3 linked regions of the Schizosaccharomyces pombe genome follow. The gene in region 1 interacts genetically with each later gene. Each region holds a gene or a part of one and is shown in the gene's direction. Other genes may lie near its edges. The genes, in order: SPOM_SPAC4H3.06, dbl8 and SPOM_SPAC1B3.08.

Region 1 (7,145 bases):
CGAATCTCAGAAGGTTACCATTTCAACCCTTCACGCAGCTAAGGGTTTAGAGTGGCCTGTTGTATTTTTACCTTGTCTTTGTGAAAATATTATCCCTCATTCTCGTTCAGACGACCTCGACGAGGAAAGAAGGCTGCTATATGTCGGTGCCACACGTGCACAGGCGCTACTGTATCTATCTTCCTTTAAAAGCGTCACTGGAATGTTTGCAGATATGCAGAACTCAGACAATGTACAGGACGTCAGTCCATTTTTAAAAGGAGAAGAAATGAAAAGATGGGTGATGGAAAGTGAAATAGTTTTTAATGAAAAGATTGCTTCTGAAATTGGAACCATATTGGGTCGGAAATCTTATGGGAAAATAACTAATTTAAGCGGTATTGGTTCAAATGCAAATCATAACGGAACTAAATTCGAAAACTTGGGCTTCCAATGCTGTCGTGTTCTAGCTGAGGCAGAATTGAAAAAGAGAGAACGAGTCAAAAGTGTCAATGACTATAATAAAGATGAAACAAATTTTAGAAAACATAATGCCAAGAGATCGAAAACCGATATACGAAGTTGGTTTGAGAAAAAACAACCAATCGATTCAGATGTAGAGATTTCTGAGCCGTCAAGGTCCGCAAGCATAATGGTTGCAAATAAAGATTTAAATGATCGAAGTTTTGAAACTGTCAATCGTATTGTATCGACAAGAGCCTCAACGACAAACGCTTCTTTCATGAGCAGCGTCAGACAAAATCTTGGTAGAGGTCCTTCTACGAAAGATCAGGTAATAAATAGAACGTTGAGGGAAGGTCACCAAGATGTTGTGCAACATACTGACCTTAATCAATCAAATACTAAGGTCGCGAGTGCCCGTCCTGCTGGTTCGAGAAAACGATTGGGTGTAAGGCTACGAGTTTCACGAATGTTATAGTCATATCATGTTGTACAAAATCACGTATTATATTTATAGACAATCTAAACACCTTGCTACGGTGTTTTCTTTAAAATACCTACATATAATGTCAGCTTGAAAATAGATACAGATAATAAACTTACATTAGAGTACTACAGTTTCGACAAATATTTCGTTGGCAGCGATCACATGTAGAAAGATATAATACGTTATCACAAAATTCGCAAACACCGGTAGATGAAGGCAGATGGTCATTGTCAGTAACAAAATTAACCTTTTCATTTAAAACGATAGAAGAGGCATCATGGGCATTACTTTTTTTGCTTGCAAACAAACTAAGAAAAGATCTCACTTAGAAGCTTAGTAAAAAATCGCTAAATTCTTCACTTACTATCCAAATGATTTTTACACTTCTTTCTTGGTAACCTACTAGGAACATGTTCAGAACGACATCTTTTCATAGCTAAATCTCGGATACTTCGAGTTTCAAAAAAATGTGACACGTTGTTCTACCCTCTTAAAGCCTTATCGAGGTGTTGTTTTGTTTTTGTGGAACGCGGACTAGATGGCTAGTGCATGGTCTAATGGACTGTACAGGAATGGTCAAATAGGCGATACTTCTTGTCAAAATATAGCACTAAATGCATTTTTGAACCCTGTATATATTCGAAAAAAATACAAATCGTCCTTATTAATACATTTCGTAAGTCAAAATGAAATTGCTGAAATGAATGTGTTAAGGTAAAGCAAATATAGCTAGATTAAGGCTCATTTAAACTTAAATTGAGTAATATTTTCTTAATGTTTTTACATTTATCAGTAAGTGCTCCTTCGAAATGCCTTGTCCAGCTCATTGAAATTCATGGGTCATACCTTCAAAGGCTGAAGTATGAAATCAGGAAGGATTCACTGAAATAAAGAAGTCTTTCTGATGTCTGATTTGAGTATACGATAAACAAATGTGAATGTGCAGATATGAACAGTATAAACCATAGAAAGCCATGTCAAAGCCGAGGAGATACAGATGTTCTACATAGATTTGCAGACAATCCTCCTAGATATTCTATGAGAAAGGAGAGGAAACCTTGGTTTTGCAGCTTCTATATGGAAAGTACAGAGGGGTTGTCTTGCTTAACCAAAGTAAGAAAGAGGCAATCAGAGAAGATAGCCTACAGAAAATTATAATTCTCAATCAATTTATTTAAGGTAAAAACCTCTTATACTTCTGATTCTTTTAGTGCTGCTATTTAATCTGTAATTATACATTATGTCTCCATGTTTGACCAGACTGAACAATTCACAATTTAGTAGGATCTCAAATGTTATTCGGGAAATAGTTGATGGTATTGAACTATAGGATATTAATAAAGTTGTCACGTGTAGACGTATATTAACTTGTCAAAGATTGTTTGAACATTGTGAATAGCAAAATGGATTAGTTATTACAGTAGGCTTTTCAGTAGGTACACACGACGTAGACATATGTTTTAATAGATATTTTCCATCAAAAAGAATTAGGTCTATTAACACGCTCTTTTCTAATAGACCTCTTAAATGTCATTCACTTGAAGTTTGTACTTGTAAATCAAAACATTGGAAACCTGATAAATTGGACAGTTAATTAATTAATTATTCAATCCTTTTCATTATAGAAAACGTTTTTTCTGAATCTTTTTTGCTATAGTATACGCTGTGTTAGAATATGATTCAATTACTTAATAACGACTATATTTTGTAACAATAACTATAAATAATAAGAGTCATATTACTATAAGTATGTTATGTCGAAGGAAAATTACAAACAGTTTTACTTGATTGCAAAGGTGGACTATATATCTGAGACAATTAACTCTTAATGTATCATTTACCAGATATGGAGGAAACTGTAAATAAAATATTGCGAGCTCAAGAAACGAGAGCTCAGTTATACAAAGAACTGGAGGAGTAAGTATTTTCAAAGATATATAAATAAAATAGGTCTAACAAAGGTAGTGCTCTCAATGCAAATCAAGAGAAAAAAATTGGACTTGAGCAAATGGGCATAATTGTTCAACTGGTGACTGAAGGTTTAAATGAAGTTTCTTCTGATATTCGAAACTATCAAGCATCTCTTACTAAGGAGCTTAAACTATTGGTGGATTCTTTACAGGAAAAAGAGCGCTCTAAGCTACAAGCGGTAAATTTTTTTTCATAAATCTTTCTATGCAAGTTACTTACAATGTATAATATTTGCAGACCGTCAAACTTGAGCAGTTAAAAGTTGTTTCTACTAATTCACCAGTTGAGAATACGCAAATTTCAGAATTGGAAGCTAGGTAAATTGAAAATTGAATTATCCAGATATAACTAACAAATAATTATTAGACTTTCTTCACTTTCTAAAGAAATCAACGATATCTTACAAAATATGAAGGATGAAATATGAAGAAAATTGGTTTAATTACTATGGCATATCCAAGTTTTCTCTTTAGCAAGAGTAACATTATGAAGTATGATTCTGAATTTTCTTAAATTTAGAGAAAGTAAAAATTCTACATTAGAAATTTAGGGGACAGTCAGTTCAAAGGTCTCCTTTCTAATCATACTTGTAATTGAGATTGTAACATTCAGTGCAAAAGAAAAAAATGTTATTCGCGTTTTGAGCAAACCGGCAAGGTATGAATAGTATTCTTCAAGCCTTTAAATGTCAAAAACCCATCAATTTTAATTCCACCTGGTTGTTCGAAAACTAATTTCTTAGAGTTATCTTTAACACGTGCTTGAACTGTATTCCCTAGTTTAATTGAATTTGGAGGTGTTCTTTCTAAACCCGGAATTAACTACAATGACTGTCTCAAAATATATTTTCCCATATTAATAGCTTCCAATGTATTTACAGCTTTACCCTTTCGTCGAAGTCTTTGACAATAGAAATGCGAAGGAATAAATCGCTTGAGTAAGTAACTTATCATAGTTCAATTCACCTTATTGTTACATTGCAGTAAAATTGTTTTTGTTTTCTAAGTACACCTTACTTATCATCTAAAAATGGTGAGCAAGCATACGATGCATGCATTCAACTCTAGAAACTTAAACTACATATAAAACTAAAAGGTAACGTAATGGGTGAGAAGGCTGGAAAGCGTTCGAGTCTACCCTCACTTAGACTTAATTTTGTCGGACCACTCAAGCCATGAGCCAGTGTAGTTTCCAATACTAAAAGGTTAGTTTTTGAACACTGTTCTCGAAATTAAGTGGAATTGTTCACCTATACAAACATACTTTTTATAGCCGAGTTTGGTGAGAATGTCAGAAGCGGTCGTACTTCTTCTACCAGAGCGACAGTAAACTACAACGTTGTCCTCAAAAACGGGTTTGCTGAATCCATAAGTCTTGGAAAACTCCTCGTCACTAAGTTTCATGGCTTCCTCGATTTTTCCAACAGGTAAATTATAAGAAGTTTCGATTGCACCTTGCTTAAATTCATCGGGCTCACGAACGTCTGACATGTTAGCAGAATAAGTTTTAACTCACTATTGTATTGTCCTTACCAATTAAAACGGTGGATTTGTCGCCAGTTGGTCTTTTACTAAGGTTATAAACCTATTTCAAGTTAGTACCGTTAATAATTCCAAAATACTTGGAGAGTAGAGTAGCGAAGTGTAAAACTTAGCTTTAACCAGAAAACATCGCATATGAAAGCAAACGTATTCCTATGTTGGTTTACCTTTTCGAAATCAAAGATGCTGACATTCTTAACTACTGTAGAACTGTAGAAAGAGCGGGTCATCAGGAGGCGAGATACGGAAAGAGTTTTAGAAAACATTATGGGTGAAAACAAGGTTTATTACAGCTAGATGGCCCCTTTCAGCAGGCAGGTTAAATCTCAGATTCCCACAGTTGACGGTAGTGGTATAAGCGTGATCGGTGAGTAGTATGATTATATGAACGATCGCTATTACGAAATCGGCAGGTTTGAAGTGTTATAGGGGCTTGTGTTCAGAGGAATCAATAAATGAAATGGATCTTTGTATTTTCGAGATTTTTCAATAATATTTTTCTTTTTTAAAACGGTAGTTTTTAAAGTTACTATTCAAGAAAAGAGCGATTCATCCATCGGGAAAAATGAAGTTGCCGCATTTTCTATGTTTCACTTTTAAACAATTACATATTCAGTATATAAGTTCATAGAATAGAACTGTACGTACGTCTTTGGCACAGTTCTTTAAAATTGCGGATCTTTAATTGTGTATATTACTATATGGAGGTAGCATATGGATTTACCAAAAAGCATTTTATGGATAATTTGTTATTCATAAAATTATGTTTGTTGGAAATACACTGACAGAAACAAGCACTCTAATTTTCAATTGAGCTACAGTTGTTTGTTTTATCATTAGGAGAAAACAGGAATTCATACGACGCTGATTTATATAGATGTATACGTAAGTTTATTTATTTATTTTTTCTCGTCGGGCCTGAAATGCACTGTACTGTAATGTCATGGCATGCTTCAATGCTAATGTAATAGGAAAAAAATCACAGTACACAAATTTTTATGAGTGCTGATATTCTCGCAATGGAGAAACGCTAGGTTTAACGTAAGCATGATGTTTAAATTTGCCAGTACAATTAGAAAACAGGTTGTAAGTCCACCTTTGATATTAGGTCACAGTTCAAATCACTTTTGATTGTATTGCACATGATATTACGTTTACTAAGATTTCGCATCAATTTTAATATTGCAAGTTCTAAGGTAGCAGCATATTATTGAAAATTGAAATTTCAAATGGAAAAGTGATTCACATGCGTCCATTAAAATATAAAAAATAAAAAAAGAAATTTATATCTAGAATAAATTATTGTTTCTTTTAGCGGCAGAAAAACTAGTAGTAAAAATTTTATGCCAATAAATAAATATATAAAATAATGAACCTAAATAATCATATTGGCAATGTTTTCCAATTCAATCATCCGAAATGAATGATTGCAATGGATGAAGGAAAATAAAAACTTGTAAAAATGAAGGTCAGTAAGATTCAGTGTTTAAGATACCTCTCTGGTTTACAATCTTTTATGGACAAATATATGAACGGTTAATTCGATACAGTTCATCTGTTTCACTCGAATACTCAATATAATTTATTTACAATTCACCCATTAAATTAATATTTACCTTATTCATTCGCTTTCATTAATTTCATTCATTCACTTAGTCCCTTATTGTACCAACCTTGTCGCTCGGTACCGAATACAACAGTCGGCGGTTGATCATAGCTAACTAGTGCTAATAGCTAATTTCCTTAAGCAGACTTTTAATCCAACTGTGAATACCAATTACGTACTGTTTTGATTTAGTTAATATTTTCTTCCTCTTTTTTTTTTGCGCTTTTTTTCCATCGAAATCAAATATTATGAAGAATGACTTACTTCATAATTGCGATACCCGAAAACATCACTGATAAAGAGGGGATATCATATTAAAGAGTGAATACCGGTTAGGTCTTAGTTGATTCTTTGGATGTTGGATTGAGGTTTAGCTTGAAATGATGGTTGTCTTTCGTTTCAATTCACCTTTACAACATTTAATTTTTTTTTTAATGATCCATGATCACAATGCCATAATTTACGAAATCCTGGATTACGAGACTCCTGATCGAGCCGCAACTGCTGAATACAAGCGAACCTTGAATCGCAGGCGGATGAAGTATAAAGTTAACTCATATCAATTAAAGAGATTGCAAAGCGGCGGAACACCGTTCCCACGCTTCTAGTACTATGCGGAATGAATAAAAATATTAGGCGGAATGAATAGATTGTCGAGAATGGATTTCTCTCTCGAAATTACGTTCATTTCCTATACATCAGGGGATTATGACATAGAAACGTAAATGGATGTTCTCCGACAAAAAATAAAAAAAATATATTATATATAGAGATAGACGTGCGCCTTAATATATTTCCAATTTACTACGACTGACTAACTAACTAAATAACTGCGACTTTATTAAAAAAACATTAATAAAATGGATCCTGTTCCTAGCACACAAACTCAAAAATGGCCTGGCAAGCATGCCGACTTAGATCCTGAACCATCACTTCTCAGATATTGTGATGGACGGGTACATGTCGGATCAGGGAAACTTGCAGAGAAAAAGACATTGCTCACAGGAGGAGACTCTGGTATTGGTAAAGCAGCAGCGGTGATGTTTGCCAGAGAGGGATCTGATCTCGTTATATCATGCCTTCCAGAAGAAAGAGACGA
Region 2 (10,453 bases), on another chromosome or scaffold:
GAAATCTGCTACTATTTATTTCCTTAAATGCCTTGATGCAGGCTAAGGGTATATTGAATGGTATAGACACTGCATAATACACCATAAATCCTTTTTATGACATGATGGCATTCTTAACAGTGATAACTCATTAAAAAGAGAAACAAAGTCAACCGATGTAAATTGATCATACTCTTCAATTACAATATTATATCATGACAATTGTTATGGACTTCGATGTGTATTTCATGAAGTTTGAAAAAGTAAAATATATCATCAAATTAAATGCTTATTCTTGCCAAATTATTCAACAATATCGTACAGTGAACAATTGCTTTCAAGTATTGATTAGTTTATTGTAATCTATATAAGTATTAAACTTCATCTTCGATACAAATAACGTACAAACTAACATTCCGATCATCTTAATTGTTAAAGGAATTAATGAATCTATAATTCTAAATTATTTTTTTTAGCACTTAAATTTACTCATCCTATTATTTACATTTACAGTATACGGTTTCTTAACGAGTATACGCTATTATTATGCCGAAACATGAATGCATATCAATTTTGGTTCTACCAGCACTGTTCCTCTATTTTGAAGGGTTTATAAGTTAAAGTCAAGTAAGCATTACCTCTGATTATTATTTCATTTTATATCAAGTTCTTAATCAACGTTCTTATTTTTTTAATTCGTGTCTCTATATTTTGACAATTACTTGAAAACTTGTCATACGACAAAGGTAAAGAAGGAATTGCTAGCATTTATAGCTTTAAAACGATGTATATTTTCTATTAGGGATATATTGTTATATTTTTGACTCTCAACGAATACTTCGTACTCGGTTCCTTCGATTGCTGTTTATCCTATCTGATATAAATTTGAAAATTTGAATTAGACCCTATGCTAACATATTCTTAGTTACATGTATATATAGAATTTTTTTTCGTTTAATTTTATTTTTGAAAATTAAACTTTTTGATCACCTTTCGTAAAAGTTCCTTTCGATGAGCTTTCTGAATTCTTGGAGAGCTGTTAAATATACAAATAAGCCTAAGGAAGAAGACATCAAACTCCCAAATTCTGCATCAAATCTTCCAACTACTGTACAAGCATGTGTGATACAGTTTATCTCTTCTCTAGTTAGTCCGGTTCACCCTCAATTGCTTTCGCCTGAAGAACTAGCAAAAGCATTTCAAAACTTTTACAAGCATACCGATGAGTTTATTGCTTCAACCCTTATCCCTCAACCCTCTTCAAAAGATCAAAATGTGCCTCTTTTGTTTCCTGAGGAAATAGATGCTCAGAAAAAGGCGAGACAACACTTGCTGAACCAAAAAGATGAATGGATGGACCAAATTGAAGATATAGTTTGCGAATATTTGTATGATCGGTATGTGATTACTTCGCCTACAATAACTGTTTACTAATATTGTGTTAGGATTTTCTGTTTATCTACAAGTACGGATGCTGCCAAAGATGACTTGTTAAAAAAATTTATTGCTTCTGAAGAAAAGAAAGAACTTATCAATTGCATTCCAATACCTGATGATGAAAAACTTACAAACCGGTTACATGAAGTCTCTGAAGCATTTTTTGCTCTCGATGAGCAACACACACCTAGATCGAAAATAAACACTTTTATGACCGTTAATTCAAGTATATTGAATGCCTCTCAACTTCCTCAAGAAGAATTGAATGCTGATTCTTTATTAAATTTGACCATATATTGCATTCTCTGTTATCCCGGATTTCATTTAATATCGCACCTGAATTTTGTGTTACGCTTTCGAAATGCAGATTTTTTAAGCGGAGAGCAAAGATACTGTCTCACAACTTTTGAGGCAGCCCTTACTTTTATTCTTCGAGCTTGTCCAAATCTTTTAACTCAATCGTCAATTCAACCCTCTGATGATCCTCTTTCACTTGAGGTAGCTAATAGCGAAACAGTTTCGACCTCTAACTCGCTTCATGATCCGAGTGCAGAACCCTACCCTGTGAATCGCTCATCTTTATCTAATTTAAGAAATCTGGGACTAGCACTTGAGAAATCTTATGCCTCTCTACTTAGTAAAGTAGCCAATCACACTGCCAAAAGTTCAGAAGATTCTTCCAATTCTGTAGAATTCGTGGGCGACCCACCTTTGGAACGCTTTTTGACTGTTTCTGATGCTAGCGATCTTAAAATCGGTGAAATTGAACTTCTTCTTTCTGACTATAAGCGCCTCGCACGTTTGCTTTTTGAGAAAAATGGTAATCAGTAATTTTGACTGAATATTTTCTTTAAAAATTTCACATCCAGTTGGTTTTCGGCTTTGTTTATGGTTATTTGATTCATTTGAGAGACAAAGTCATATAGAAAAGTTATATGATTGATCAATATTTTTTTTTTCTTTGTTGCAGGTCAATTCGTGAACAGCTTAAAAGTTTAAAAGAAAATTTTTATTCAAAACAAGGATTGATTATTCCTTGACGTCTATTTTATTAATGTATGAATATCACAAAGAACTAGCAAAAATGATTTAAGCTTGTATGTTGACGCAAAGATTGCATGCGAATTAAATCCTTACAAAGGAAATATATGAAACGAATATATCATGTTACTGCAAAATTTTTAAATATACTGAATAAAATGAACTGTGATTCTTTGCTCAGTGAAGAAAATAGTCATATTTGAAACTAGGAATTAAACACACAATCACAAACTTCGGATTATAATGGGTAAGAAAGTTTTTTAAGTTGTCACATTATATATAGTAATGTTTAAAATATATTTCGGATAATCATATATATCTTAATTACAATAAAGAAGCGTGATTTTGGTACATGAATTTATATACACTTTCAAAATATACGTTCATTTTTTTATTTAAAATTTCTCTTAAGGCTATTTTATTTCAATGCGATAATCGAGTGCTGTGTGGACATCAAATGATTGGTTGCACTAAATGTTTATAGTGAATAGTGTAATTTACTTCCTTAGAAACCTAGATTTTGAAAAATTGCAGTCGCGCTTTAATAAGTCTACTTCGAGAGTGAGAATGCAGCATTAGCTTGTGGTTATGGAAAATGACGAGGCTTTTGATAGATTAATAAGAAAAATTCAGGAAAATCAAAAACACCCATCTTTCGAAGGGTCCAATAAAGTTTTGCATTTGGCGCTTTCATACCTAAATACTAACAGACAAAACCCTCATTGGGTTTGTGATCCTAAATTACAAGTAGCAGTTCGTGAATGTCTTTTTCTATTTTCTTTTCAAAATGATAACGAGTATCTGGTATGGTTCAAAAAACATTTGAACGAACGCCTTCAGTTATGCCCCAAATGTATAGTTAAATATCACCAATCTTTAGATGATTTCAAAAGTCTATGTTTAAACATTTTTCACTTTGACCCAAATACTCTTGAGATTGTAATGGAGAAAATTTATAGTTGGGACATTTTTCGGTTACAGGAAGTTCTCAAAACAGTGCCTAAAATCGACACGTCCTCGGCCTCTAAACCTATACTATGCGCCTTCTACGAAATCTTATACTCTCCTCGTATTTTACATAATAAAGAAATCTTTCCCTTGTTCCGAAACAGATTTCTTGAGTCCGGTTTTCTTCGGCTCTCGAAAAACCTAGTGCCAGGTGTCATAAGTCTTCTCTTCTCGAGAGATGATGAGCTCCGAAGATGGGCTTGCAGTATTTTAAGTGATGTAAAAACAATCTCCGATAATGAATTTAAAATCCTTGAGGGTCCCCTTCTTCAGGAAATTCGTTCTTTAGACCAGAAGAAAGAAAATGAGAACGAGATGCAAATTTTTCTGAAAGGTTTATCGTTGCTGTTAAAGCATGTTGATCATCTTTATTTTAGGGGACTTACAGGAAAAAATTTCAATGTCGCCGATTTTATTCTTTCGGGATTGCAAAGCGACCATACTAATTTATGTCCGTCTTTCCTTGTATGTTTACATTCTTTGTTATACTGCTATGGACGTAATTTTTGGACGCCAGAAATTTCTCCCAGTGAAGTAATAGATAAAATTTTTAATGGTAATGCTTATAAGAGGTGGACAGAAGAAAATACATCCAATTTTTCAAACGACCAAAAGGCAGAGAATCCGTTTGAATGGGCTACCTCTCTTTTGAAGACAATTTCAATCATTGATGAAGTTGAATTAATTAACAAAATTTTGATTAATTACACCATGCAATATAAAAAGGAACTGGAAGTCGGTTTCAAAAATGTTCAGTTACTTCAATCACTTGCTGACATATTTTCAGTTTTGTTTTCCGAATATTTTATGATTTTCCCCCATAGTGATCAAAGTTTACAAAACAAAGTATTTGAATTACATTCCACTTTAGCGATTAAGTTTGACGAGCTGTTTCGTTTGCTAAACTTGGAAAATGAAGAGTCTGTTGAATGGAGGCTTATTAAGAAAGTTTTTGAATACCGATTGAATTTAGATCTTTATATTTTGAAGCAATTCTATTGCCATTATTTGGACAGAAATAGAAAGCCACCCTTGAATATCAAATCGGTAAGTGAGTCTTTTAAAAATTTTTGGGTATATTTGCAAAACGTATTTCGAGAGGAGAAGTTCTTTATGGTTCGTATTGTTTTTCGTGCTTGCTCTACAGTTTGCTTGATTGATAAGTTGCCGCCTAAGAAAGTTGACATTCCGTTCAAAAGTGATTTCGAAAATGCACTAAACGGATTTGTTGCAACATTTTCTGAAATGCTTATTCAGACTCAATGTTGGCATTTGTCGGCACAAACCCAATTGGTTTCAAATCCTTTAACTTTTCGTGGAATCTTTTCACTCGTTTTTTCTCCAATTCTTGAGATCTCAACAGGAAGTATCTCAATTATTAAATCTATTTCGCTTTCTGACAGCGTTGTTGATACTATAGGAGAGCTATTGAGAAGCCAGTTTTCAAATACACTAAATTCTTCATGTTATGTTCTTCTGCAGTGGCTTAAAGTCAGAAACTTTGGAGGAGCCAAGCACATTGTTTATTTTAATAAATTAATTATAAACACTATTTTTGACTCTGTTGATGGCTTAACTTCTAAGGATGCGACTTTTGCAAAACAAGTGGAAAAGAAAGAATCCCTTAAGAATTTCTGGGAATCGTTATGGAAATTCTTTACTCATTTTTTCATTGTTCTTCCTACTTGGCCAGTTCATGATAAGGACAATTTAGTTGATTTAATGCGGGATACCCTTGATTTTTGCGATATGCTCATTAATATTTTTGAGGAAGTTAACGGATTCATTTTTGGATTATCGGATAACGATATTAAAATTGTTTCGGCTAATGATAAGGGCAGTGCTTTAGCTATGTGTATAGCTGATTCTTTGGTTACTGTATCTTATTGGCTTAAGTTAACTGATTCTTCACTTCTAACATCCGTTGTGAAAGTGATTTGTAAAATGCTTAAAATTTGTAAAAAGTTGGAGTGTCCAATTAGTCAAAATGTGATTGATATTATCCATAGGGCATCAATTACCAGTGATGAACAAACAATTCTTACATTCACTGAGAGAGAGGATCTTTTTATATCGCTCACACCATACCTTTCAGAAGACGTTCTTAATCACTCTCCTTTCAATGATACCAATACGCTTGAAACTAAGTTACAGAGTGATGATCGGGGTTTGCTTTCTAAAGACCAGACTATTGGGATTGCGAAAAAATTACCTGAGTCAAACATTAGTACTTCAAATCATTTTTTGCTTCCTCCGAAGGCTATTTCTGCTTCTAAAGCCATCAATAGAAATGCTCAAAAATCTCAAAATTTAAATTTTTTGAAATCTAAACAAGAGACAACACAGCGAATTCGCGAATCCGCGAAAGTTCCAAGAACCAGTGCGGGGAACCATCTTTCTGAGAAACTTAATTCGGATAATCATATACCAAAAGCTTTGCAAAAGCTCGATTCTGCTGACCCAATTCGCAAGCCTTCACTTTTGCACACTTCTAAAAGTTATTCTAATCCAGATGACAAAAATACTTCAACTTCCGATGAAGATACCTCGGAGTCCGAAGAAGAGTCTAGTAACGGTCTATTCTCGCTTGCACGTGAAGCTAATTCTCATGCCTCTAAATCTCTTCCACAAAGAAGGCAGATTCAGTTCTTGGACTTTGATTCCCTTAAAACAAAAAATGTAGTTCATCCTACTCAATTGCGCCGTAATACTCAACAAAGTGCACAACTTGCTCGACTCCGGCTAAACCCTGATGTTCAAGAGTTTTACAAAGTAATTTTGGGTTGGAACCCATTAGCTGATTCTTTTTCGGCGTCTAATGTTGAGATGCAGTGCGTCCAAGCTAAATTCACGTATAATGATTCAAACGCTTATGAGAAAGTTTTCAAACCAATGTTGTTTCATGAATGTTGGGCTCAAGTGAAAAGTGCCGTTGAAGAAAAGCAATACCCTCCCATAGATTTAATCCTCAACACCCGCAGTACAGTTGATAACTTTGTCGATATTTACTTTACGTCCTGTTCACCTACCGAAGTCTCTTTTTTAAGTGATACAGATATTTGCTTACTGTCAAAATCACAAAGTTCGGGCGATACTAATAACCCAAAATCTTTTCAGTTGTGCAAAATTCAATCCATTTCTCGTAAAAAAGAATCACTTGAACTCTGTCTGCGGATGAATATTGAATCAATTGATCTACAGGAGTATGCACCGAACATTAGGTTCACAGCACAAAAATTATTTAATGCTACTACTAGCTTACGTGAATTTGCTGCTTTAAAATCTCTTCGCCATTTACCATTGTCTCAGAGAATTCTGGATGCCAATGTAACGCGTCTACCTTCAAATTTTACAGATGACAAAAAGCAAAAAATAATGAAGTCTTATGGTGTAAATGAACCCCAGGCATATGCGATTTATGCATCTTCTGTAAATGATGGTTTTACGCTCATTCAAGGGCCTCCTGGAACTGGAAAAACTAAAACCATTCTAGGCATGATTGGAGCTGTACTTACTTCTTCTAGTCAAGGGTTGCAATTTAATGTCCCAGGACAGACGCGAAAAACCTCAAAGAATAAGATTTTAATATGCGCTCCTAGTAATGCAGCCATAGATGAAATTCTCCTTCGTATCAAAGCCGGTGTTTACGATCATGAGGGTATCAAATTTTTTCCAAAAGTTATTCGTGTTGGATTTGGTGACTCCATAAGCGTTCACGCTAAAGAATTTACTTTGGAAGAGCAAATGATAAAGCAAATGGAACTTACGAACCTAAAGAAAGATCAAGAAGCAAACAATTCCAGTGATACTCGGAAAAAATATGACTCAATTATTAAAAAAAGGGACTCTTTACGCGAAGATCTAGAAAAGTTTCGTAGTACTGGAAAAAATAGTTCAATATTGGAAGCACAGCTTCGTGAGATTACCAAACAGAAAAACATGCTTGAACAGAGCCTTGATGATATGAGAGAACGTCAACGCTCAACTAATCGTAATCTGGATGTTTTGAAAAAACAAATACAAAATCAACTACTTCAGGAAGCTGATATTGTATGTGCTACCTTATCTGCGAGTGGTCATGAACTACTTTTAAATGCGGGTTTGACTTTTCGAACTGTCATAATTGATGAAGCTGCACAAGCCGTTGAATTAAGTTCAATCATACCTCTTAAGTATGGCTGTGAGAGCTGTGTAATGGTTGGTGATCCGAATCAGCTTCCTCCTACTGTGCTATCAAAAACCTCTGCAAAGTTTGGATATTCACAATCTCTATATGTCAGAATGTTCAAACAGCATAATGAGAGCGCTTGTCTTCTTAGCATACAGTATAGAATGAATCCTGAAATTAGCCGATTTCCCAGCAAGTTTTTCTATAATTCAAAACTACTTGACGGTCCCAATATGTCAGCAGTGACATCTCGACCTTGGCACGAGGATCCGCAGCTAGGTATTTATCGATTTTTTAATGTTCACGGGACGGAAGCTTTTTCCAACTCAAAGTCTCTGTACAATGTGGAAGAGGCTTCGTTTATTTTATTATTATATGAGAGGCTAATTCAATGTTATCTAAACATTGATTTTGAGGGGAAAATTGGAGTTGTTACCCCTTATAGAAGTCAAGTACAACAGCTTCGATCACAATTTCAAAGAAAGTATGGTTCCATTATATTCAAGCATCTTGATATTCATACCGTCGATGGGTTTCAGGGACAGGAAAAGGACATTATAATTTTTTCTTGCGTTAGGAGTTCGATGAGCGGTGGAATCGGTTTCCTTCAAGATCTTCGTCGGCTTAATGTAGCTTTAACAAGAGCTAAATCATCTTTGTATATCGTAGGCAATTCTAAACCGCTAATGCAAGAGGATATTTTTTATAGCTTGATTGAAGACGCAAAAACTCGTGGTGTTTGGAGAGACTTGAGTGCTAATCAATTTAAGAACTCAAAAAGTATATCAAACGTTTCGACACACCTCGCATCTAACAATTTAAATTTAGCCTCACGGGATACCCCAATTAAGTCGCCGTCGGTTGGTATCTGTGAGGAAAAACAAGAAGCACATAAAGTCAAAAAACGGCACAATATAGATAGTGCTAATTTGTCAAGAGGAACTGAGAGAGATGAAGATATACCGAATAAGCGCGCTAAGAACAAAGTTTCCACTGATCAGACTGCTGCTGATAATAAGGTCACGAAACCACGCCTTGATGAATCATCCAGTTCCAAGCAAGATGTGTTAAACAAAATAGACGAATCTGAAATTGAACAAGCGTCTTCCAAAAAGCCGGGTTATGTGGAAAAAAATAAAGATAAAGGCCATATGAAAAAATCAAAAAAGCCCAAATCGAAACTTGCTCTGGCGGCGATGGCCCACGGTTTTGCACCTCCAAAAGTTGAGCATTTCAAAAGGAAGTAGCCGATTTAGGTTTTAGTATGAGTATTTTACAGTATTACTTTTTTAATAACACGAGTAGCGGGACGTTTTCAATCATTTGAATCTTAGACATAGTTTATTTATTAATATTTCTCCTATCTAAAAATGATTTTGCTTACAACAACACTATATTAATTTTTACTCAATGGTATATATAAACAGGACAAATGCACCAGTATATTCTATATGTTTGTGTTAGGATTATATCAAACTTGTATTAGCTCATACTCACAATTTCATTATTAATTAGCTTCCAAAATATGCTATAAATTAGCATATTATCAGTGCATGTTCAATTGAGTTCTACAAAATACATTGAATCTATAGATGGAGATACATGGCAAAAACTTTTTAGAGACATTAAAAGAATTGGAGAAACACGTAGATTCAGCACACTATGTTTCCATTGATTGTGAATTTTCCGGATTATTAAGAGACTTCAACCTTAACAACAAAAATACTTTACAAGACAGATATGAGTTACTGAGAAAAAGTAGTATACGATACACAATTTTACAAATTGGTATAACCTTTATTTATTTGCAAAACAATGGAAAATCTTCGTGTATTCCCGTAAATATTAACGTAAGTCCTCTAGTTAAAGATGAATTGCACCTTAAGAGAGACTTCTGCTCGGAGGCTAGCAGTATTAAGTTTCTGATACAACAAGGTTTTGATTTTAATAAACAACTGACAGAGGGTGTACCATACTTATCACGGATTGAAGAAAGAAATTTGATCGACAAGGTTAATGAAAGATCAACTGACGACTTGACCAGCTCAATTTTAGATGCTTGCGATGAAGAAATTCTTGTTGACGCAAGAAATCAAATTAAGAATTGGTTATCGAGCGAGTTGTCACATTCCACTTCAAAATACTTGAACATTACTACCTCTAATCGTTTTATAAGAAAAGCAATACAATCCCTGGTTAAAATTGAATTTCCAACTTTAAAGAGTTACCCCAAAAGAACATTTCTGCAGGTTCGGAAGGCTATTGAAAATTCGACAACTCAATGCTCTGCCACTTCAAAAAGCGAACTCAAAGAAGATATTGCGAGCGACCAATTAATACTTAACAATCTAAATTTGATCAAACAGAATGTTGGGTTGCGACATTTATGGGACTATATACTTAAGAAAAAAAAGTCAGTAGTTTGTCACAATGGCATGGCAGATTTGGTGTATTTGTTTTCCCTTTTTGAAGGAAAAGTCCCGGAAACGATATTAGAGTTTTCTGAGCTTTGTTTATCATCTTTCAAATCTATATATGACACTAAACTTCTCTACTTGAAATCCGATGATCTTCAACATGTATCAGATGGGATACCAACGGACTTACTTTCCTTAGTTTCAAAGATATCTCTACCGCCAGTACCTTCTAACTCCTCATCTCAAAGGTCAAATGTTTCTTTAAATTCGCTGATTGAATGTCCATATAAGTCAATGATGAGCAGAAAACGCCCACATGAAGCAGGAAAAGATTCATACGACACTGCTCTACTATTTGTTTACTACGTTATGAGAACAAAACACTCGGATATACAGCGATGGC
Region 3 (6,371 bases), 1.1 Mb from region 1:
TAGGCTCTCCGTTAAATCATCCATGCTTACAATCAATTCCGACAACAAAGGATGTAGCTGGTCTTTGGCAATAAAGTTAAGTCTAATGGCATCTAGAGTAGTAATGAAATTTTGTACCAAACCGGCAATTGATTTCGCAATGGAAGCAGATGGGTTGGATGGAGCCTTTGTTGGATTAACAGTTTGTGGAGTAGTATCATTCATAGCAATTGAAGGTTCTGCAGTTGTAGATATTGCATTGGAAAAGGTGGAATTGGACTGAGATCTTTCGTCCGATATCCCCTCTTGAATTCTCTTGATTGCTCTTGGGCATTGCAGTCGATACTTTGAACAGAAGTCTTCAAATGAGCCAAAAGCCTGAGTAACTCTTTCGTCACTAAAGCAAGACTCCCATTGTTGTATCAAAAGTTCACAGGTAGAATTGAAATCAGAAGTAGACACGGCGTCTTTCGTAAAAGCTTTCTCCAATTGCTCTAATGCCACCAAAATACTGTAAAGAATACTTAAATCTTCACGTACCTGTTGATTTTTAGTATGAAAATTGTTTTCTTCTGAAGTTTCCTTTTCTAAAAGGTTCAGATCGTAGTATTCAGTCATAGCATTAATAAACTGAAGAAACAGATGTCTAATTGTCCTTCAATCTTTCAAAGTTATAAACTAGCTTCGAATATATAATTAATTAATTACAATTGGGAAAAAATCAATTATAAATCAATGTAATGAATGACTTATTACATTGGAATAAATTGAGAGCTAGATGTTTCACACTGTCGCACAGTCGTCCATCGTTCTCATTTTGAAAACACATAATGCATCAAATATTGCACTTCTCTATCCAACAATTAGCCAAGTTAACGTACTGGTGCAAATCGCTATTAAATGTCAGCAATACTACACTACGCTATAATACACTACGTTGAGTATCACTATATGTCACATGTTCTAATTATATATCGTACCATGTATGATACGATATGGAGATTGATCTTAATGATAATCTATTAAGATCAATATTATCTGAATACTATAAATAGAGCTACTGCTGAACCTCGTTCCTCAGTTCAGTTATGAGCTATATTAGTGATAGGTAACATTATAACCCAGTTAATACAATACCTATACTCAGTTGCTACTTATACAACCTGTGTATTGTAATATAATAGATCACAAGGAAAACTCACCGCAGTTCTACGTATCCTTAAATCAGATACCAAACTGCGTAGCTTACATTAAAGTTGTCTCTAAGAATTTCGCAACAATGTGATATTTGTATATCGTTGCTTAACGCAGCCATTGAACAAATGTGATCGCATTGACATAATTATTAGTTTCCCTTTACAAAGCACATTTCAGTACGACTAGGTTGCTTTTCTGAACCATTATATTATGAACCAGGGTAATCAAGCTTTTGAAAATGCAAGAAAACCATTTCGCAGGGCTAATTTGATTACGGCCCTAGGTCTTGGCGCGTTTGCCTTCGCGACCTTTGCATATTCGGTCTACCGAGTTCACGAAGATACTTTTGAAGACGTAGTAATGACTCCTGAATTGGAAAAAAAAATTGCGGAGGATCGAGATCTCTCAAAAAAGAATTGAAAGTGTTCATCTTGATTCACCCATTTTTGGCTTTTGCTAGTACAAGTGACATCGTTACCTCTCGTGGGCAGCGTTCAAGAGCGCGCACACGACGGTGTCGTTGGTATTGAGACAGAGCACACTGGCGAAAACACAAACGGTGCTTGTGGACCCTTTAAAGCCCGATTTTTACATCTTCCCTTTCCCTTCCTTTTTTTTGGTACCGACCTGCTTAAAGGGCGCTTCTGATTTATGACAACTATGAGTGAGAGGCCTTTACCTTTAAACGTTTATTTCTCAACCATTAATTCAGCTGTTGCGCGATCTAATAGTGTCCTACTAGCGAAAAATTTATCAATTCCTTGGGGGAAAACGCTAACCTCAGTGCTGAACTTTGATATTCCTGGAACATATTCGTCTGACGATGTTTTGAAACTTACTGTAGAAAGATCAATTTCAAAAAACTGGACAGACATTGTACTTTTGCATTTACAAGTTTTGCTGTACTTAGTTCGTGACCATGATCCTGCAGCCGCCTTTAAACAACAGACTGAACTCGCACAGCATCTATATCGTGAATTCTCATCCGGCAGATGTACCGGTGTTCATTTACCAGTATTGTTTATAGTATGTAAGGATCTACGATTTTTGGCTATCAATGCACATAATGCAATGCTTCGCCGCAAACAGCAGTTGAAAGTAATTTCGGTTGATGAGTCGGAAGAAAATGAACAACTTGAAGCAACCGCTAGGCTGATTAATCGTGCATTTACCATCTGTATCAATGATCGAGCTCCTCTGTCGACGTCACGTAAATGGGGAGCTTATTATATTATGGGTTTGTTGTTTAAACTTTACTTAAGACTAGATTGTGTGCATTTGACCAACAATGTTCTGCGTGCCATGAAAGTTGTGGAACTTCCTGACATTTCCCTTTTCCCTAAGTCTCACGTCGTAATTTTTCATTATTACCTTGGAATTGTTGCCTTTTTAAACCAAAATTACAAAAATGCCTCAGCTGAGCTAGAGATTGCCTTTTCCTTATGTCACAAAGGTTACAATCGCAACTTGGAATTAATTCTTTCGTATTGGATTCCAACTCGCATTTTAGTAAATCATCAGCTACCCACAAAAAATTTACTCTCTAAATTTCCCAATCTGGCTTCTGTCTATATTCCTTTGACTAGAGCACTAAAATCCGGTAATTTAGGTGAATTTGGAAAATGTTTGCAAAAAAACGAAACCTTGCTTGCAAAAACCAAAATTTACCTCACCCTAGAGGGCACAAGAGATTTGTGTATTCGAAATCTTTTTCGTAAGACTTGGATCATCTGTGGGAAATCTACTCGTTTACCTGTTTCTGTATTTCAGATAGCCCTTCAAGTTGCCGGTACTGATTTACCCAAACTGCATGTAGAAGCTATTTTGGCCAATATGATTAGCAAAGGATACATGAGAGGATATATATCTCGTAACTTCGAAACTGTGGTTTTGTCCGCCAAGGATCCGTTTCCCAAAAATGTCTCTACCTAGTTATGTCCATTATGAAAAATACGTTAAGATTTGTCGATGCGGCAAAAAATTTAAAACTACAGCGTTTACGCTATTTTTAAACTCTATTACTAATCTTATGAATGATTAGAACGTTTATTAATTTAATTAATTCGTCCGTTTTTGATCTCTATAGTAAGTTAACTGAAAATCATGTAGATATACAATGCTTATTTATATCCTTAATCTCCACCAGACAAAAGTGTTTACTTTTTTCGTTTGTACAATAAAAATTTTTTTAAAGTCAATTTAAAGAACCTTCTTAGGTAGTATCACTGACTAGTTTACCCATTGGAGTAGACCTCCAATCCAAGTCCTTCTCGAAAGCTTCTACTTGAGATGTGTCATTGAGAGTAAAATCTACGTTCATCCTTCTGCTTTCAACAAAAGAAAAAGTGCTTTCAAGTTTGTTCAAGAATGTTAAAACATGCTTCCCCGGTGCGGATTCATTTACCAGTCCACGAAGTTGTGCGATTATGGGAGCAGAGAGCTCTGGAAAGGCAATTGAATTGGAAAATATGGCAAAATATTCAGTCATTAGCAAAATGACTTCTTTTCTGACATTGTTACGATAAGATTTTGACAACAAACATTCTTTAGGCACATGAAGAGTAGAATACATGTCAAAGTTATACATTACTTCCTTATCATCAGACAAAGGACTCGATCTCCTAAGAACAAATGGGATCATTTCTAAAAACTGAGAAGACAGGGGGATGTAAAGGCGGGTAGATCTGCAAATATTAACAAGTGACTTTAAAAGATGGAGACGTAATGGGTAATATTGCTCCGTAGGAATTAAACGAATGCAATCCAGCGTCAGGTTTATGGCGATTGGAGAAATTTCTTTGGAGATTGATTCATAATCATTCCATAAAAATGATATAACATGTAACCAAAATCTCAGCGAAAGCGTAAATTGCCAATTGTATATTAATTTGTATGCATCACTGCTTTCAGACTCCTTCAAGCAGCGCTTCAAATGAGCATCCAATTGGGAGAGATAAGCGAAGGCAATTTTTTGATAAAACCGTGAGTTAAGAGAAAGAAGTTCAATCAAGAACAGTTGAAGCTCTTCAAGGGTATCGAAATCGTTAACTTCACTGGGAGAAGACTTAAAAAAGTCCAACAAAGGCGAGTAAAATACTTGAAAAACTGCCACACTCAACGACGAATCAATTTTGCAAATATGATTAACTGCTTTTTGAATATCTTCCCGAGCTTTAGAATGATTAACAAAAATATTACATAGCTGTGTAACCAGACCATTGGGAAATTTAGAAAATTTTTTTATGTGAAGTATAGTATCAAGGGCCGAAGACAAATTTTGATATCCCTTTTTCTCAAAATTAAATTTTGTTAATAAAATCTCGGCATACTCTAAACGAAGGTCCTGAAGAATCTTTGACCTAGCGTCAAAATCCACGTTGTCCAAAGTCTCCTTTAAGTCCTTTTCAACATTTTTCCACAACGCATCTGCTTGATTGGTCCCCGATAATTTCTGACAATATGCAATAGCAGCAAGTAAATCCTTTTCACTCCGTCTTTTTTGAGTAGAAACTTGATTTAAAGAAGCGCCCTTGGAGTTTACATTAAGAACCGAAATATCTTCTGATCCGTCTTTCTCATGCGATGTATTAGAGGTCGTTACATCTGAATATAGTTTAGAAAGATCTTCTTTGTTTTTATTGTTATCATTTGTTCCACTTTCCAGTTTATTTTTTGTATGTGAATTTCGATTTTTTGTGCCGTAAACTTTTTTTGAACGAGCTAACTGCTTTCTCCGCTCGATAGTATTTTTTAGGTGGTTTTTAGTAAACTTTTTTGTAGCCTTGGAAGCTTTACCCATTTCCCCGAGAAAACAAAAACACCAGTTCAATTGCAGATGAACGTAGTAGTAAATTCACTTCGCTGTAAATGTGTGAGAAATTCAGGTTGAGTAACACGGGTAACAGTGCAAGGATTTCTCAAAAATTAGCAGCTTTTATGGTATTTGAAAAGTGAATTGGAATATTTTGACTGTAGGATTAAAAATATGTGCTCCTTCAAGCAGCTGATCATGCATATAACGATAGCTATATTGGCACTTGTGAAGCATATTCATGCGATTTAGATAAAAAATACTTACCGTAAACGAAGTAGTTTCAGTAATTTAATATAAAGTTGGTGAATATTGATCCAAAAAATGGCAACTTTTAAAGGGAAGTAAGAGTTTTGGTTAGAAGATAGCTCATCCAGCAATCGTCTAGCAATATAAATATCTTGATCTCGTCCTATTCCGTATTCGTGCATATATGCCATGTTCCAAAGGCCCATACCGATTGAGCTTTGCTCATAAGCAATTTTGTAACATGTATATGCTTTAGAGTAGTCTTTAGGGGTGCCAATTCCATAGTAGTAATAATCACCCAGTTTAAAAATGGCATCAATATCACCCTGAGCGGCAGCACGAGAGTAAAACTCATACGCAAATTTATCATGAGCAGCCTCCTGCTCAGATTGGGTATAGTTAAAGTAGCGGAATACTGAGTTAATTAGAAACTTATTCTCATCCATCAAATATGCTGCATTAATTTCAGCTAGGGCATATCCCATTTGAGCGGCATATAAGTAATAGACGAAAGAATTATGAAAATATCCATATTCGTCTATTTCTTCTAAAGCTATAGCCATCGAGGTTGCAGAAGCTCGTATTGCTTCCACAAACTTTTTATAGTATAAAGAGGCACTTATCATTGATCGACTAGTTCCAGTTCCATTATAATAACAATCAGCTAAATATTTGTAAGAGATGACACTTTTTTGAGTAGCAGCTCTTAAAAAGAGGTGATACGCCTCTTCATAACGCGCTTCTTCAAGACGAATGAGGCCAAGAAACATAAGTGCATGGGGATTTTCATTCATTACAGCTAAATTTATTAGTCTCATTCCTTTTTCTCGATCAACGCCGTTGGAAGTTAAACCGTGATAAGCCATGTAACCTAAACCGTAATAAGAATTGGAATCGTTTTTCGTTGCACCTCTTTTAAACCACCAGTATGCTTTGTCTATATCGAATAAAGGACCTTTATCAAATAGATGTAAAAGTCCTAAATATCCACAAGATTGAGCGGCCAAGGAAATTATGCTCTGTGGAGTGTTAGCTAACACACTATTTTCTGAAGTGTATGGCCAGTATTGTCTTGAAACCTTGCGAAATAATACATCGGAAACAGTGTAATTCCTTGGATACTTATACATCCCGT

The links.
Region 2: mutations in SPOM_SPAC4H3.06 (region 1) and dbl8 together harm fitness more than expected from each alone (negative genetic interaction), as found in Schizosaccharomyces pombe (one large-scale study listed by BioGRID).
Region 3: mutations in SPOM_SPAC4H3.06 (region 1) and SPOM_SPAC1B3.08 together harm fitness less than expected from each alone (positive genetic interaction), as found in Schizosaccharomyces pombe (one large-scale study listed by BioGRID).

What each region holds. Positions count from the first base shown.
Region 1 is NC_003424.3:3,834,675-3,841,819, forward strand, and holds SPOM_SPAC4H3.06 (uncharacterized protein), read left to right. Parts: upstream 1-2,760; 5' UTR 2,761-2,774; coding exon 2,775-2,845; exon of another isoform or gene 2,846-2,893; coding exon 2,894-3,077; intron 3,078-3,136; coding exon 3,137-3,216; intron 3,217-3,265; coding exon 3,266-3,326; 3' UTR 3,327-4,038; coding exon of another isoform or gene 4,039-4,096; 3' UTR 4,097-4,162; coding exon of another isoform or gene 4,163-4,382; 3' UTR 4,383-4,431; coding exon of another isoform or gene 4,432-4,483; 3' UTR 4,484-4,607; coding exon of another isoform or gene 4,608-4,706; 3' UTR 4,707-4,952; downstream 4,953-7,145. Other genes in the region: srs2 (UvrD subfamily ATP-dependent DNA helicase), read left to right, coding at 1-919; SPOM_SPAC4H3.16 (uncharacterized protein), read right to left, coding at 953-998, 1,045-1,252, 1,293-1,362; thiosulfate sulfurtransferase Rdl2, read right to left, coding at 4,039-4,096, 4,163-4,382, 4,432-4,483, 4,608-4,706; SPOM_SPAC4H3.08 (3-hydroxyacyl-CoA dehydrogenase), read left to right, coding at 6,907-7,145.
Region 2 is NC_003423.3:2,555,720-2,566,172, reverse strand, and holds dbl8 (ATP-dependent RNA helicase Dbl8), read left to right. Parts: upstream 1-3,003; 5' UTR 3,004-3,045; coding exon 3,046-8,880; 3' UTR 8,881-9,023; downstream 9,024-10,453. Other genes in the region: guanyl-nucleotide exchange factor Muk1, read left to right, coding at 991-1,376, 1,425-2,247; tri1 (CAF1 family ribonuclease), read left to right, coding at 9,226-10,453.
Region 3 is NC_003424.3:4,940,840-4,947,210, forward strand, and holds SPOM_SPAC1B3.08 (hypothetical protein), read left to right. Parts: upstream 1-1,704; 5' UTR 1,705-1,836; coding exon 1,837-3,108; 3' UTR 3,109-3,388; downstream 3,389-6,371. Other genes in the region: ESCRT I complex subunit Vps28, read right to left, coding at 1-597; Cytochrome c oxidase assembly factor Coa3, read left to right, coding at 1,387-1,596; noc202 (Noc2-Noc3 complex subunit), read right to left, coding at 3,389-4,975; protein Hrd302, read right to left, coding at 5,251-6,371.